2 linked regions of the Arabidopsis thaliana genome follow. The protein of the gene in region 1 interacts with the protein of each later gene in a pairwise test. Each region holds a gene or a part of one and is shown on either strand. Other genes may lie near its edges.

Region 1 (3,944 bases):
TGTTGTTTTGTTTGCAGCTTATAATGCTACTGTGGAGTTATTTCTCTGTTGTTGTGACGGACCCTGGTGGTGTTCCAACGGGTTGGAGGCCAGAATTAGACATAGAGAAAAGCGAGGGAAACCAAGCTTTGATTGGAGAAGCTTCGGTTGGAGATTCCTCGTCTCATGGTGTAAGATATTGTAGAAAGTGCAATCAATATAAACCGCCTCGTTCTCACCATTGTTCAGTCTGTAAGTCTCTTCAATGAGTGATTCTTTTCTTTGAATCCGGTATATGTGTTTTTTAGTAGTGAAAAAGTTGTCATATTGGGTTTTCAGGTGGAAGATGCATACTAAAGATGGACCATCACTGTGTTTGGGTGGTGAATTGTGTTGGTGCAAATAACTACAAATCATTTCTCCTATTCTTGGTATGTCAACTTATCATAGCATCGCTGAACGAAGTTGTTTTTGATATGTTCTGTTCATTAATGTTGCCATGATCATAATCCATTCCCAATATCTCAAAAATGCAGTTTTACACATTTCTTGAGACAACGGTGGTTGCAGTATCACTATTGCCAATTTTCCTCGTATTCTTCAGCGATGGAGATGGTGATATAACCGTATCACCAGGAAGCCTAGCAGCCAGCTTTGTTGCATTTGGTGAGTTCAAAGATATAGAAATCTCAGTTTCCGTTTTTGTTTCAGAACACCTTAACGTTACCATCTGATTCAAAAACTTCACTCTCTTGCTTTCCAGTATTGAACATAGCATTTGCCCTAAGTGTCCTAGGCTTCCTAATAATGCACATAATGTTGGTCGCTCGTAACACCACAACTATTGAGGTAAAGCAACAACTCTCACTTGGTTTTGCTCTTAACTTGGGTTCTCTCAGGAATCTCCATGTCAATAAACTCACTGACCAAACTAATGGTTTCTTTAATCTCAGGCGTATGAGAAGCATACAGTGAACTGGCCATACAACGTTGGTCGTAAGACAAACTTTGAACAGGTTCGCTCTCCATCTTCTTTGTTTCACTCGTTCTTCAGTGACTGATTCGTTTCCCCGCTACTTAGATAATATCTTTGACATCGAACACAATGAAAGCTTTAAAAAGTTTGGTCTCTATTCCTTTGTTGAATCAGGTTTTTGGAAGTGATAAAATGTATTGGTTCGTGCCATTGTACACGGAAGACGATAAGAAGAAGTTGCCAGCACTTGGAGGGTTAGACTTTACGAGCAGGTCGGAGTCCGAGACAGAGCCGCTTCAGTCTCTATGACCTTACAAACTTGAAATTTTTGGAAGTGTGTCTTCTGCTTTGTGTATGTATCAATCAAATATTATATCAAACATTGTCTTGTGTATTATAAAGATTAGTGCCTATTGTGGAATTTGTATCTTTTTATTTCGTGAAAAGAAATTTCTCAAACTTCTTAAATATACCATTTTCACATTTGCTTAAATATACCATTTTCATTTTTTCACTATTGATAATAATAACATGTTATTTATCATAAAAAATAAAAAAATCACGACACGTGAATGATGTACTGTAACTATCAAAGATTTGACGTACCACATACTTTCTGTATGTTTTTGATCGAATCAAAAATAATTATTTTTGTCCTTTTTTGTTTTATTGTTATTTTATAATGTAATACTTTTACTAAAATAATTTTTTTTAAAAACTAAATTTCTGGTCTATATAATTTTGGCCAAATATGTACATATTTAAAATCCAGAGTCAACCATTTAACAAACACTTGGAAATTTAATTAATTATTATGCCCTGTTTAGTAGAAAATCCATTAAAAATTACAGAAATGGTCTGCGTGTCGCATTGAACCAATCATATCTCGACATCTGTAAATACAGTTGGAGAAGATTTTTTCTTCTTCTGCTGGCCAAAAAAAAACATTGCATTAAAAAGGGTTCAAAGAAAAATTCTCAAATTCTCTAACAAAGAGCTCTGAGATTTTTGGAAATCTGAATCGTTGTTCGAGGTATGAACTTTTGGATCACTCTCCTTGAATCTGCTCTTTGATTCGATTTCGTACTTGAATTTCGCAATTTTGGAGTTTTCTCTCGCTTCGTTATACTGATCGTTTAGGGCTTGAAATTGAAGGTTTAATGTTACCATTTCCGGCAATGAACTTGAAGAAGTCTCGATCGGAAAACTCATCAGTTGCTTCATCTGGAAGTAAGATTGAGGAGCAGACTGAGAAATCAGCTGAACCAACAACCATTAAGGTAAACCTCACTAAACCTAAACCCGGTTTCAATTTTGCTTTGTGGTCTCTCTTTACCACACAGATCTTATCATTGAATTCTATCTCTTAATTAGGGTTTTAGTTGAGAATCTTAAGGTTTTTTTTCAACCAGTTTCGAAGACTTAGTTACTAGTGTTATTTGACGAACTGATGCAGACATAAAGGTTATAACTTTATTTCTCGTTGTGTCTTTGGCTGATCAGTTATGTATAAAATTTAATCAATATTTATGCTATTTAAGGTTTCGCAGTGACCCTTTTCTTCAAATTTGGTTTTTGATTCTGCATGTTCTCAGTATCACTCTTTTGGTGGTGTCCCTGTTTTGACTTTTGTGTTTCTCTACGCATGTTTTCTCATCTTGCTATATATTAAACGATTTGTAGTATGATTCTGTTGATCCAAGTAGCTTGTGAGTGACTGTTCTTCTTTTCACCGAGATTCCATATTTGTATTGTGCAGGTGCAGAAAAAAGCCGGTACTCCAGGGAGGTCGATAGATGTCTTTGCTGTGCAGTGTGAGAAGTGCATGAAGTGGAGGAAGATTGATACTCAAGATGAGTATGAAGATATCAGAAGTAGAGTACAAGAGGACCCGTTTTTTTGCAAGACGAAAGAAGGTGTGTCCTGTGAAGATGTTGGAGATCTAAACTATGATTCCTCCAGAACATGGGTCATCGACAAGCCTGGCTTGCCGAGGACACCAAGAGGGTTCAAAAGGAGCTTAATTCTGAGAAAGGATTACTCGAAAATGGATGCGTACTACATAACTCCTACTGGGAAGAAGCTCAAGTCTCGTAATGAAATCGCAGCCTTCATCGATGCCAATCAGGATTACAAGTATGCACTGCTTGGAGATTTCAATTTCACAGTCCCAAAGGTGATGGAAGAGACGGTTCCTAGTGGGATATTATCTGACAGGACCCCCAAGCCATCAAGGAAAGTTACAATTGATTGAGCTACATAGCGCTTCCCAGCTTCTTATGGTGTTGAAGTTGTTATTGGAGTCAGTTTTAGGTTTCTATCTGGTTTAGTCTTTTAAGGGTGTCGGACTTCTTACTGTAGAATGTTTCTTAAACTCATCTCTTTGACTCTGATTGGATCTTTATTTTCTAATGAAGGATTATCTTTTCTTCTCTTTTTGTTATGTCACAAGTCACAACTACATGAATCGCTCTGGTTTTCACTCAGTGTGTACAAACAAACACGACAAAGTATATTCAAGCAGCATGTGTACAACTTCTTCTACTCCAAGCGCACCCTCTGCTATAGCGTGCGGTGTGCAAGTCCTCGCTTATGGGCTATTTATCCCATTCAACATTGAGTATTGGTCATAACCTCTTGGGACTGAGAGCTTTATGAAAAGAAGCCTTAAACAATGATTGCATATTTGGGATTTTCAAAAAGAAGACTCACAACATAACTTTATGTATGTTTCCGCTCTTGGGTTTTCTGACCAGCCCTTGAAGCTAGTCCTTTCTCAAGGTTTTGTGTATGTTTCATTAGTTTTTGTTTGTATCTGGAGTCTACCGTTTATTAGAAGTTTAGGTTGCTCCTTCCACCGTCCTTACTCCTTGGTTTAGTTGAATAAGCAGTTTTCTCATGTGGTCTTACTTGGTATGTAAAGGCTAACCTTTTGTGGGCATGCAAAGTTCTAAATTTAGACTCTTTAGGATGAAGATTACATGGCTAC
Region 2 (6,685 bases), on another chromosome or scaffold:
CTGTAAGCCCTAGTTGAATGTGTATACGGACATCTTTTATATTATTTTCTTTTGTCAGTTTTGTGCTTAGAAAGCGTCATCAAGTCTCAATTATTATGCAATTTCATCTTATTAAACTTTTGTAGCCTATGTGGTTATGTCGAGACGTATTTGGAGTAATTCAATACATTAAGAATAAGCTCTCAATCGACAATCAGTAGTTTTTATCTCCAATTGAATTACAGAGATCGAACTCGGGTTCTTAATCTTACCAGACCCTTGTGTTTTTCCTCGGTTTCATATGTGGGTTAATGTTTAAATTGTTCATGGTGTCATCATTTATTTTTGGGCCCGGACTGGCCCATCCGAAAAGTGGGCTAATCTCCAATTTTCATAGCACATATTCTTAATACCAATCATTAACCATGTCATATTTCTGTCTGCGAAAACAAAACAAAATAAAGCACAAAAGGGTATATAGTAACTTAGTAAGCACATGGTGGATGAGACACGTGTCTATTTTCTGGTGGTGAATGGCTTGGAATGAGAAGACCAAAATTCCACCACCGTTATTATTGGAGAAAAAAAAAAAGCGAGAGAGAGAGAGCACTTGGGGTCGCTCACGTCCCAAGTAACACTGAACCGACGTCGTATTCGATAATGATTGATGAACCGTTGATTTCCTCAAACTCACGTAGCTTACACGCGAACCTCCCTTCAACCAATCATGTGCTGCCATCATTTAGCGCGTGTCTCTCACGTCCCGACACTTCCTCCTACATAGCTCAACACCTCCTCCTTGGCCACTTTTTGTTTCTTTTTTCTTTTGCTAATTATAAAGTAGGGACTCCCAAATATAAACCTATAGGCTAATTATATAACCAAGTGTCCCAAATATTGTCTCCCAAAATTTTTTTCTGTAGTTAGGGTTTTTAATTCTAAGAATTTTCTTTTGAATTCTGTTTATTATGCAACAAAAGAACGTTTCTATATTACAATTTTTTCAAGCAATCTACTTCTGGTTAATGTAAAACATAAATACACCTTTTTGGATATTATATAACAAGATGTAATAAGTTGAACCATATGCAATAACCATTCCAAAACGAGTCGATTGTGCTATCAATTATCAAACTACTTTTAGTTGTGTTAAGTTGTCATCTGTCAGAATATTTCACATCGTAAATCAAAAAATGATTTTAACATTTTCATTATGCAAAGATAATGGATCTTTCAGGATTTTTATCAATTAATTTTGAATTAAAACATTCTTTTAAAAAAAAAAAATAGTATTAGTGCTATTTGTGAAATGATGAATTTTCGGATTTTTGTCTTTTGCCGCAAAGAATTTTTGAATTATATAAGTTAGGCAAGAAAAAAAAAGAATATGTGAATAAACTATTAAAGCACGATTAACTAATCATGATTGTGTTTATTAGTTCAACGAGTTCTCTGTTGATTGAGTCATTCCACAGATAAAAAAAAAATGTAGACTATTTTAGATAATTTATTTTATTTAGTTCCATAAAATAACTCAAGAAATAAAAAGTTTTGAGATGTCAAAAAAAAAAAGTAATGTAAAAATGCATTATTCGGAGATGTTGATGACTTTGTGCAAAATTACCTAAAACCTTCAACCAAAATCACCAACTTCCTCAACAACCGATGGACCTTTCAATATTTCTCTGAATTTTATCAGAAATTGAAGACTCTCAGATGTCTTCTCTGTCGCAATCGCCACCACCGCCGGAGATGGATATCCAACCCCCGGCATTGGTTAACGATGATCCTTCCACTTATTCCTCCGCTTTATGGGATTGGGGAGATCTCCTTGACTTCGCCGCAGACGAACGCCTTCTCGTCGATCAAATTCATTTCCCTCCCGTTCTCTCTCCTCCTCTACCGCCTCTGATTCCGACGCAAACTCCGGCGGAATCTGAATTAGATCCTTCTCCGGAAGAATCGGGTTCTGGTTCGGATCGGGTTAGGAAGCGAGACCCGAGGTTGATTTGTTCCAATTTCATTGAAGGTATGCTTCCTTGTTCGTGTCCTGAGCTTGATCAGAAATTGGAAGACGCCGAGCTTCCGAAGAAGAAACGGGTTCGCGGCGGGTCGGGCGTGGCTCGATGTCAGGTTCCGGATTGTGAAGCGGATATTAGCGAGCTCAAAGGGTACCATAAGAGGCATAGGGTTTGTCTCCGTTGCGCTACCGCCAGCTTTGTTGTGCTTGATGGAGAGAATAAGAGATACTGTCAACAGTGTGGAAAGTATGTTACTTTTCTTGGCTTTGAGAATAAGAATTGGATTTGATAGGTGAATCCAGCGGGAACTGTCTTAGTTAACCTCCTATGCATCCTCCTGGGATTTTTGTGTGTGTTTGACTTAGGTGTTGTTCAGATTTGATTTGCAGCACAAAATGATCGAAGATCGGGATGGGTTTCTGTTGTCTGTTTGATTGGGATAGAGACTTTGAATCTATTGTTAAGAAATTGGATAACTTTGGGAGAGACTGTTGATCAGTTTGAATGATCCCACGGAATTTACTTAGTCTCTTTGTTGAGCATAAGCTGAGCTTAACTTCTGTTTAGCAGTATTATTGTTTGTATTAATTCTTTCAATCTATGCTGTTATCCATCATTATAGTGAGTAGTACTATCTGGCAGGTTTCATTTGCTCCCGGACTTTGATGAAGGAAAACGCAGCTGTCGGAGAAAGCTAGAGCGTCACAACAACAGACGGAAAAGGAAACCTGTAGATAAAGGAGGTGTTGCTGCAGAACAACAGCAAGTGCTTTCACAGAATGATAACAGCGTCATTGATGTTGAGGATGGAAAAGGTATAAGTGAACTGCGCAAATCTCAAATCATATCACCATGTGGTTTCTTTGTTTTAGTTGTTTGCTTTGCATATTTTGCTAGTTACCAACGTTTAGAGTTCTCTTGGAAATTCAAGCTGATTCGATTGTCAATGCTATCATTTTGAAGCAGATATCACATGCTCTAGTGACCAGAGAGCTGAAGAAGAGCCTTCATTGATTTTTGAAGATCGGCATATTACCACTCAGGGTTCTGTACCTTTTACCCGAAGCATCAACGCAGACAACTTTGTCTCTGTTACAGGTTCGGGTGAAGCTCAACCAGATGAAGGAATGAATGACACAAAATTTGAACGTTCACCTTCTAATGGCGACAACAAAAGTGCTTACTCAACTGTGGTGAGTTTCTCTTCAGCCTCTAACATCAAAAACATCGGTGCACTTAATGAACTAATTTCCCATTTCATTGCAGTGTCCAACTGGTCGGATCTCTTTTAAGCTCTACGATTGGAATCCAGCGGAGTTCCCACGGAGACTACGTCATCAAGTATTCTCAAGAATTATATATTACAGTTTAGTGTTCAAAGACTATGTTTACCTTCTCAGAATCTCAAAGAACTAATATCTTGCGATTAATTTGAATTTGCAGATATTTCAATGGTTGGCCAACATGCCTGTTGAGCTGGAGGGCTATATCCGCCCAGGATGTACAATTTTGACTGTCTTTATAGCAATGCCAGAGATTATGTGGGCGAAGGTACATCCTGTTATCTTTTACTCATCATTTTCATGTTCATGATGCCGCGACACAACATAAGAAATTGTTTATTTTCAGTAGGTTGTAGTCTCGAGATATGCTCTATTTCTCTATGCACCTTACCCTCTTAAGTACCATATACACATTAAAGCTCTTACGTTTTTGTGTGACCTGAAGTTCTTTTGTTACTAAAAATTGTCCATTATTTGGAAGCTTTTGCCCTGGAGGGAGAAAATGCAAACTTAGTATCTCTTCCCGTGAACTCTCTTTTGACTTTGCACTGTAATAAACTTTTCCAATTTGTTCCTGTAAACAGTTATCTAAAGATCCTGTGGCATATCTGGATGAATTTATTCTTAAACCTGGAAAGATGCTGTTTGGAAGAGGCTCGATGACTGTCTATTTGAACAACATGATTTTCCGTCTTATTAAAGGCAAGTTGGTGTGCTTTACTTGTTTTCTCTGGATTTTTTCACTCTATCATATTGGATAACCATAATGTCGTGAGCTATTAATGTGAACTAATACTTATTTGTCTTGGTTTTGACAGGTGGAACAACTTTAAAGAGAGTCGATGTAAAATTAGAGTCGCCGAAACTTCAGTTTGTGTATCCTACATGTTTTGAAGCTGGAAAACCAATTGAACTCGTTGTATGTGGACAAAACCTTCTGCAACCTAAATGCCGGTATTAATGTCAACCCTTTTTTTGAGCTATGCTTCAGACATCTCTCGCATTTCTAGTTCTGTCTTATTTCTCATATGAGGAAGCTGATATTGCAAGAACTTTCAAAATGTTGCATTTCGATTACTACCCATCATTTGTTGGTTTGATTTTTATCACTTGTGATTACTAAACTGTTCCATATACGAAAGAAAAACATGCTGCTTACAGATAATGGTTTCATTGTAGGTTTCTCGTGTCTTTTTCTGGGAAGTACTTGCCACATAACTATTCTGTTGTACCTGCACCGGACCAGGATGGGAAGCGTTCTTGTAATAACAAGTTCTACAAGATCAATATTGTGAATTCTGACCCTAGTCTCTTTGGCCCTGCCTTTGTCGAGGTACCCATTTGTTTGATGATATACAGTTTAGAAGTAGCTCATTTCAATACGATCCTCATCTAATCCTTTTGTAGGTTGAAAATGAATCTGGCCTATCAAATTTCATACCTCTAATTATTGGAGATGCAGCTGTTTGTTCCGAAATGAAACTAATAGAGCAGAAGTTCAATGCTACACTCTTTCCAGAGGGACAAGAAGTTACTGCTTGCTCTTCTTTGACTTGCTGTTGCAGGGATTTTGGGGAGAGACAGAGCACCTTTAGTGGCCTCTTGTTAGATATTGCATGGTCGGTGAAGGTACCCTCTGCAGAACGCACTGAGCAACCTGTGAACCGATGTCAGATAAAAAGATACAACAGAGTGTTGAATTATCTGATACAGAATAACTCAGCGTCGATCTTAGGAAACGTACTGCACAATTTGGAAACTTTGGTGAAGAAAATGGAGCCAGACAGTCTTGTTCACTGTACCTGTGACTGCGACGTGAGGCTTCTACATGAAAATATGGATTTGGCGAGTGATATTCACAGAAAGCATCAAAGCCCTATAGAGTCAAAGGTGAATCCTCCTTCGTCAGGTTGCTGTTGTGTGAGTAGTCAGAAGGACATACCATCAAGAATATTAAACTTCAATAAGGTTTTTCACTATTATCTGACTTCCCCTATTTTCCTGTTTGATCTATACTGGACTCTGCCCACAATCTATACTTGTCTTGCACATTTGGTTTCTTGCTCCACTCCTGAGTGCTGAACACTAACTTTTGTGTGTTTATGGTATATTTGGCACATTGTGACAATATTACAGGAGTCTGCGCACAATATTGTGTCTGTTTCTTGGTTTATTTGCATAGTTTCTGTTATTTAATGTTTGCCATTTATTATGTTTACAGGATCCTGAAGCAGGATTAGATTGTAAAGAGAGAATACAGGCAGACTGTTCACCAGATAGCGGCGGAAAAGAGACTGATCCTCTGTTAAACAAAGAGGTTGTCATGAACGTAAATGACATAGGAGACTGGCCAAGGAAGTCGTGTATAAAAACGCACTCAGCTTTAGCATTCAGGTCCCGTCAAACTATGTTCTTAATCGCTACGTTCGCTGTCTGTTTTGCTGTCTGTGCGGTTCTCTACCATCCAAACAAGGTCACACAGCTTGCAGTGGCAATCCGAATGAGATTGGTACACAAAATTTGAATATAAGTTCAACGGCAGAGACTCTCATTAACGTGTGTGCATCAAAAAGCTCGAAGAGAGCTGTAAGAGTGTTCAACAGAGCTCAGCCACAACAGCTTCTCAGAGAGTTTCCCTTCAGAAAGAGACAGGATATGATCAGATGAGGTCTTGCTCTTTCTGTGTGTTCTTCTTCCCAATTTCTATAAGACCGGTGATGCTGCAACTGTAATAACAAGAAATGCTCAGATCAGTGATTAATTATCTCTAGTCGAATAGTGTTTTATGTATATTAGGGTTTACTTTTGCTCACTGTAACCTGTTTTTTCTTTGTTTCTTGGTCTAAGAAATGATTCTTGAACAAATCCTAATCGTAACTTTATGCAATTTTCTACTTCAAGCAATGTCTTGGCTCTTGAGATCTCTCTAAACTCTGTTTGGTCACCTCTATTATCAAATGTTATCTTTGACTTTTCTTATTATTATTGTCAGTCCAATAGATTAACTAGTACTCAAGTAGCATAATAATTTGAGATGGTTTTATTCTTTTCTTCTCTTTTTGAAGTACAACTGTATTAAGATGCATGTTGGATTGAGAAATCGGCACTGAGATTGATTGCAACATAGAAGGCAAATGGGTAGAAAAAGACAAAGAAGATGAGATTTGAAAACAACGAAGAGACACACATATAAGGAAATGCGTCAGTTCTGAGTCATATATTTTGGTAAACGACAACATTCTAACATTTTATTTATTTGCTTTAGATGTATTCACCTTTCTTTAAACGTATCAAACGCTAGCTTTAACGTGCTAATTTAAACATAGACTAATCTATTTTGCCTTTAAAAGTTTGCTCAAACTTAGAAGCATTTCTCTTTAACAAAAGAAAACTATTAGAGAT

The links. The genes of interacting proteins can lie anywhere in the genome.
Region 2: the proteins of MBD1 (region 1) and SPL7 interact in a two-hybrid assay, tested with the Arabidopsis thaliana proteins (one large-scale study listed by BioGRID).

The regions. Positions count from the first base shown.
Region 1 is NC_003075.7:11,946,686-11,950,629, reverse strand, and holds MBD1 (methyl-CPG-binding domain 1), read left to right. Parts: upstream 1-1,825; 5' UTR 1,826-1,988; intron 1,989-2,110; 5' UTR 2,111-2,115; coding exon 2,116-2,235; intron 2,236-2,714; coding exon 2,715-3,209; 3' UTR 3,210-3,420; downstream 3,421-3,944. Other genes in the region: AT4G22750 (DHHC-type zinc finger protein), read left to right, coding at 18-231, 319-410, 516-645, 743-828, 933-995, 1,130-1,264. UniProt on the Arabidopsis thaliana protein: Probable transcriptional regulator.
Region 2 is NC_003076.8:6,274,421-6,281,105, forward strand, and holds SPL7 (squamosa promoter binding protein-like 7), read left to right. Parts: upstream 1-1,569; 5' UTR 1,570-1,695; coding exon 1,696-2,246; intron 2,247-2,642; coding exon 2,643-2,815; intron 2,816-2,966; coding exon 2,967-3,193; intron 3,194-3,266; coding exon 3,267-3,341; intron 3,342-3,443; coding exon 3,444-3,551; intron 3,552-3,867; coding exon 3,868-3,985; intron 3,986-4,101; coding exon 4,102-4,237; intron 4,238-4,462; coding exon 4,463-4,616; intron 4,617-4,690; coding exon 4,691-5,251; intron 5,252-5,504; coding exon 5,505-5,792; coding exon of another isoform or gene 5,793-5,807; exon of another isoform or gene 5,808-5,876; coding exon 5,877-5,942; 3' UTR 5,943-6,147; downstream 6,148-6,685. UniProt on the Arabidopsis thaliana protein: Transcription factor that participates in reprogramming global gene expression during copper deficiency in order to improve the metal uptake and prioritize its distribution to copper proteins of major importance.